Daphnia pulex: one gene and its partner. The protein of the gene in region 1 interacts with the protein of each later gene in a biochemical or structural test. Links are inferred from orthologs where the notes say so. Each region holds a gene or a part of one and is shown on either strand. Other genes may lie near its edges.

Region 1 (3,019 bases):
CCGAATGGCGTCCTCCGCCAGATCAGCTAATGGAATTGATTTAAATCATGCTCAGTGCGCATTGAGAACGTACGCTAATTATCATGCCTTGAGTATTGCAAAGATGCGTAGACTCGTGAAAAGCGATGGGCCATCTAATTTTCCTTCGCCGTATGAAATTTTCCGGAAGGATCCTAATTACATAAGTCCAGCAACTGTTTATCGTACTATAGTATTGCCGAACTACATAAAGGTCTTGCGCCATTTTCGTCAGGAAGAGGTAAGTTTTATTAAGTAACAGAAATGCACAAAGTTTCGTTTCTGGTGTTAATAAAAATTATAATTAAGGTTGCGGATTGGCTTGAGGGACTGTTGCCTGAACTGGATAAAATATGGAATTGGGAATCATTTTTAGAGAGTGGCGCTTTGACTTGTCTTTTACACGGCGATTCATGGAATAACAATCTTCTCTTTCGTTATCTCGACGAAACTAGCGAAAAACCGGAAGAAATGTTGCTTATAGACTGGCAAATTGCGCGTTGCGGACATCCCTCTCATGATCTTGGATACTTCATTTTTTCCAGTACATCATCGTCGTTCCGAAAACAACATTTAGATAATCTGCTTGACGAATATTATGCTGCCCTTTCCAGTGCTCTAGTCAAACTAGACATTGACCTGGAAAGTGAAGGTTATAGTCAGAAACAATTCATTCAAGAAACCAAGCAACGCTATATTCTGATGATGATGATTGCCCTCTTCATTTTACCCATCCTACTCGACTCCTCCAAAGCAATAGATCATACCTTAAAAAACGATGAAAATCTTCATAAAGATCTCATTAAGGAATTGGAAAAAGGTTTGTTTTGTACTTATAATTATAGTCATTAATCAATACGTAATTAATAATTTTAATTGATTTAGATCAAGCAAAAGAGTTGGATGAAGAAGGAACCAAAAGCGGTTGGCAAAGTCTGTTTGAATTTGATACAGTAATTGGAAATCCACTTCTCAGCCAAAGAATAGTGGAATTAATAACGGACGTAAAGGATATGGCTTGGAAAGAATAAGACTGAGTAAGTAGTCCGTGCGATTCCTCAACTAGACGATTCGTTTTAAAATAAAACGCAGTTGTGTATTCTAATGTGATTGTTATCCAATTATTCAGTGAAATACAATAGAATTTATCAATCGTTCGTTTCGTTATTTCTAATCATGTAATATGTGTATGTGCAGCCCATCTCTGGTGCGCCCAGACAGCCTCACTCTAAAATACATAAAATTGCCTTGTTTAAAAAAGCGCGCGTAAAATGTTTACATTTGGCAACGGTGAATTTATTTTTTTTCAGGTGTCAGCAAAGTTGCCAAGTCATCATAAAAGTCTTACCGGTCATTTTCAGAGCTGACGTGTCTTTCGAGCTTTCCGTGTTGTTTTCCTTCTGCTGTAGCATCGGGGTTACTGTTAAATAGATCTGTTTTATTGTTTTTCTCGTGTTTGCGATGGATCTACGGGCTATAATTTTGTTTTCCTTTTTGCTCTTCTCAACTGTCCAAGGACTTATGTTTGAACTACAGCCAAATGGCAGAAAATGCTTAAGAGAAGAAGTGCAAAAGGATGTTCTTGTCACGGGGGAGTACGAAGTTTCTGAGGTTCCTGGCCAGAGAACCGATGTGAAAGTAAGTTAAAATTTAAAAAGAAAGCAAGAAATGGGAAAGAAACTAATTTTTAATTTGTATGTTATTTTTTTGTTCTAAAAAAAAACAACAGGTAACAGATATCAAAGGTCACACCTTAGTAAGCCACGAGGACAAAAGCAAAGGGAAATTTGCATTTACAACTGATGACTATGAAGTTTATGAAATTTGCTTTGTGTCAAAAGTCCCGCCAAGTAAGCATTCATCTTTTAAATATATTTTTGCCATAAATGACATTTCTTCTTATAGATCTTAGAGGACAGAAGCATGAGGTTGAAGTAACTGTCAAAATGGGTCTTGAAGCTAAAAACTATGAAACAGTAAGTTTTTGGAAATATTGCAAGAAAAACTAATTAATAGAATTGGTTGTAATGTATTTTTAGTTGGGGGAAGCTGCAAGATTAAAACCACTTGAAGTTGAATTGAAAAGGTTAGAAGACTTGTCAGAAGCCATTGTTCAAGATTTTGCCTACATGAGACAACGAGAGGAAGAGATGAGAGATACAAATGGTAAGACTTTTTGTTTGAATCTCCCACAAGTGTATAAGTAACACCTTTTTTATTTCATTCATAGAATCAACCAATTCCAGAGTATTGTATTTCAGTGTTTTCAGTATGTTATGTTTGATTGCCTTGGCTACATGGCAGGTGTTATATCTGCGTCGCTTTTTCAAAGCCAAAAAGTTGATTGAATAAAGCTATTTCAGTGAATATTTGACAATAAAAATACCAGCGAAACCGAACAGGAAGTCCATCGCTGTTCGAACAAATGAAATCGTCCTGATGTCAGTGGTTGTGTTAAAATGGAATACTTGCTCCAGTTTTTTGGTTTTTTGTTTGTGTGTTAATCAATGCCAATCTTTGATCATTTCTAACTCTTCCGTCTTTGGACGGTCTACTACTTGAGTTATTATGCATAATGCACGTGTGCTGGATATGAAGTAAAACATCTGGGTTGGTATTTTTTCTTTTTTTTTTCTTCTGTTTGGAAAACAAAATTCTCCAGTAATATTGTCTTGTCTTATTTTATTACATTAGAATTGGCATTAATGCGCACTATCTAAGATTTCTTAAGAGGTAAAGATTTTTAGAAATGAAAAGATTTGCCCTTTCTCTTTTGAAGAATTGCGATTCAAGATGTAAATATACTACCAATAGAGTTAAATTGCCCCGTTCGCACATACGTATAACAAGGTGTTTTTTCCTGAAGGAAATCATTCCTTGTATCCAATCTTAAAGGCGTAAGGACGCGAAGAAAATGTTGTGCAAAAAGTCTCATTTCGTTTTGAATTTGTATTGTAGATATGTATTACACTTGAATTAAAATCAAAATAAAGGGAAAACA
Region 2 (3,485 bases), on another chromosome or scaffold:
TTGCTTCTTCGTCGTTGCGCAGGCTCTTGTCCAATGCTATAAGGCGAGTAGTCAGTTTCTTGAGAGTTTTCTCTGCAACAGGCGTGCTGTCCCATGCAAAGGCAAAAACACGGAACTCTGGAGGAAGCGACATGAGTATCTTTGCCATTATTTGATTATCATCAATAGCTATGTTGAGGCTCTTCAGACGGAATGCTATCTGTTCCAACTCAGTCAGGAAGCTTGATACACTTTGGCTTGGTCGAAATGTGCATCCATAGAACTTTGTCCACAATAGAGGTGCATTGTCTGCGGCATCTTCTTCATACTCAGTCTCCAATTTCATCCACATCTCTTGGGCTGTGCTACAAGACATCAGGATCCTTGATTGGTCTTCTTTGATGGCGCCAAATATGTTCTGCATTGCCGTGGTATTTCTCTTGTTCCAGTTGGTTATATCAGCTGCATTTTCAATCACCTGGTCAGCATTGCGTCTCTGATTGTGGTAACAAAACGAGAAGATGGTTAGGTTTGTGATATCCATGGCAGCCTCACATTATCTCAATGTGGAATCTCCCTCACATCATCTCGATGTGGAATACCTCTCACATTATCTCAATGTGGAATCTCCCTCACATCATCTCGATGTGGAATACCTCTCACATTATCTCAATGTGGAATCTCCCTCACATCATCTCGATGTGGAAAAACACTCAGCTGTCTCCTAGATGCTTGCAACTCTAGCACACACTTGTCCACCATCATATGATGGAATTTAGCCAGAGTGACCAAACAGATTGAGAAAGAAACACAAAAAAAGAGAAATGTCCAGCAAACACAAACACACAAAAAACAAAATCAAGTGGCAGAGATTAAGCACTCACGCCGGGATCTAAGTTTGTCAATTTAATAGTTGGTACCACGCCACAGATAGGCATCTCATATCGCGTTGTTGTCAGGCACGGATCACACACATAAAGAAAACAATAAATCATCAATAAACTTACTTCAGCAGGTTGCCGTTGAGTCCCGTTCACGACTTCCCAAAGCTCAACACTTTGTAACGCCAGCTTCATTCCAAATTTCCAAGACGCGTAGTTTTTCCCATTCAGACACCATACAACATGGCGGCGGCCATCTTTCTCCATCACTCCAGAAAAGAATTTCTAATTTCTTGGGAACAGTTAGCCGGGGACACACACAAAAAAAATAATTGTTCAGACAGAGTAGCTGTTAGCTGTGCGTACAGCTGGGCCCATAACCTGTTGATATAGAAATTAACACGTGAACCTGTTTGCTGCAAAGAACGCTTTGTATTGCTACTCGCCTAGCCACAATCGTCAACAGCACTGAGTCCCCCTCTCTTATTCCTTTGTCTGGGTAGGTCCTTCTCCCCCTCTCTTCTTTCCTGGCTATCCTGCGTTGCCGCACTGTCCAGTTTGTTTATCTTTTATACTCAACAAGCAGTTCCTAGATGGCGCTAACGACTGGCCCTTTTGCTTTTTCCCGTATCTTTTAAAACAAAAATAGATTTATCTCGTTAATGGTTTGTGATCAGTATAGGAAATTTATAAAATTTATAAGTTAATTTTTTTAATGGTTAATATAATTTTCTTACCGACATAAGAATCGTACTCTAGTTGAAGTACTCCATGGCGATACTACGCGAAAGAAACTGCCAACGTAGCATACAGGACTACCGGTTGTCAAGTAAGAACAACTCATCAACATCTCGAACGGAACATTTTCATTCACCCGTCTGTACAACGGTTCATCTTATTTCTCTTAGCTCTTGTGTTGTGGTGTATTGCATATTGTATAAAGAAATGGATAACCATGTCCTGGTAATATAGCTACTTCTAGTACTACATTTTCTTTAATCAGCTGTGTCAGACCAACAACAAAATGATACATTTTTATAAAATTTCTTTAGGAACCTTCTCTGTATGTAATTAAAGGAATTGCAATCCTTGACAATGATGGTAAACGTATTCTTGCAAAGTACTATGACCCAAACACATTACCCACTGCAAAAGAACAGAAGGTTTTTGAAAAAAACCTATTCAACAAAACACACCGAGCTAACACGGAAATCATTATGCTAGAAAACATGACTTGTGTCTACAAAAGCAATGTGGATCTTTATTTTTATGTCATGGGAAGTAGCCATGAAAATGAGGTAAAAGATGCTCACAAGTTGTTCACAAAATATTAGTAAATTGGAATTTTTTTCCCCTTATTTAGTTGATCTTGGTTAGTGTTTTAAACTGCTTGTATGATTCCATCAGCCAAATACTTAGAAAGAATGTGGAAAAGCGTTCTCTAATGGAAAATCTTGATGTGGTTATGCTTGCTTTGGATGAAATATGTGATTCTGGGTATGGTTTCCATTCAAACATGTAATCATGACAAGTTTATCAAGATACTATTACCAGTTTACTATTGTGTTGCAGGATTATTCTGGAATCAGATCCCACTGCTATATCATACAGAGTAGCTCTTCGGAATGATGACATTCCAATTGGGGAGCAGACAGTGGCCCAGGTATGTTTGATAACTTAACTACTTAATCAGATATTTAAATAAGGTTTTTTTCAATTTAATTAAATTTAAAATTGAAATTAGTTTGAAATTTTCATTTTCCAGCAGCTACTTCTAAACTAAACAATATACATTTTAAAAATTACTATAATTAAGGGAGAAGATCAATAAATTCTTTAATTATTTCCGTCTGATTTTTTAGGTGCTTCAATCGGCAAAGGAGCAGCTAAAATGGTCTCTTCTGAAATAAGGATCTAAACTATTTCAACCACAATAAATTCCGGTCGTTGAATCATCCTTATCATTATTTTTCTCCTTTTCCAAGTTGTTCTATAAAAAAAATACAAATCTGTTCTGTTGATGCCATCTTTATCAAAATAGCAGATAAATAATTAAAATCAATCCACCGTATTAGAAATTAAATTTTTTGTAACTTGTAACACGCATTATATAACCTGATGGTGTGCTTGGTATTTTACAGCGATCTTTAAAAGATTGTTTTCATTCATCAAAGAATAGTTTGCCTTTTTCTGACATTTACTTCGGGTTTACAAACGAATGAAAGCACAAAAGAAATTTGTTTCTATCACAACAGAGATGTGAATTTCCAATATTTTTCAGGTTGCACTGTAATTTAGGTGAAATGTTCTTGGTTTTAATTCGGATAGAACGTTATTCTCTTACAGTACAGCTTAAGTACAGCATTACACCAACTAAAGTTTGCCAGTTCATTTCGAAGTTATTGATAACGTCAATCTTTCGTCGATTAAAAGGTAAAAAAAAAAAAAAAAAAAAAAACGTTTCACTCGTCGTGTCTTTATAACGATATTGAATTCCAGGCTTGGACAGAGCGCATCAGTTTTTCGCTCCGTTGATCTATCAGCGATAAGCGGTGATTTAATCGACCCAATTGAAAAGGATCGGTAACGAATCGTTGTGTTTTTTTTTTTTTGTTTTTTTTTGGT

Evidence for each region. The genes of interacting proteins can lie anywhere in the genome.
Region 2: the proteins of transmembrane emp24 domain-containing protein bai-like (region 1) and coatomer subunit zeta-1-like form a complex in vitro, tested with the Homo sapiens proteins (2 studies listed by BioGRID, with this or other methods). The link is inferred for Daphnia pulex from reciprocal best matches to the Homo sapiens genes TMED10 and COPZ1.

The regions. Positions count from the first base shown.
Region 1 is NC_060020.1:5,852,745-5,855,763, reverse strand, and holds transmembrane emp24 domain-containing protein bai-like, read left to right. Parts: upstream 1-1,351; 5' UTR 1,352-1,479; coding exon 1,480-1,656; intron 1,657-1,747; coding exon 1,748-1,868; intron 1,869-1,923; coding exon 1,924-1,994; intron 1,995-2,057; coding exon 2,058-2,184; intron 2,185-2,248; coding exon 2,249-2,370; 3' UTR 2,371-2,444; downstream 2,445-3,019. Other genes in the region: uncharacterized protein LOC124192751, read left to right, coding at 1-259, 328-838, 904-1,049. UniProt on the Homo sapiens protein: Cargo receptor involved in protein vesicular trafficking and quality control in the endoplasmic reticulum (ER) and Golgi.
Region 2 is NC_060024.1:1,294,644-1,298,128, reverse strand, and holds coatomer subunit zeta-1-like, read left to right. Parts: upstream 1-1,441; 5' UTR 1,442-1,631; coding exon 1,632-1,823; intron 1,824-1,912; coding exon 1,913-2,158; intron 2,159-2,223; coding exon 2,224-2,357; intron 2,358-2,432; coding exon 2,433-2,523; intron 2,524-2,722; coding exon 2,723-2,770; 3' UTR 2,771-2,879; downstream 2,880-3,485. UniProt on the Homo sapiens protein: The coatomer is a cytosolic protein complex that binds to dilysine motifs and reversibly associates with Golgi non-clathrin-coated vesicles, which further mediate biosynthetic protein transport from the ER, via the Golgi up to the trans Golgi network.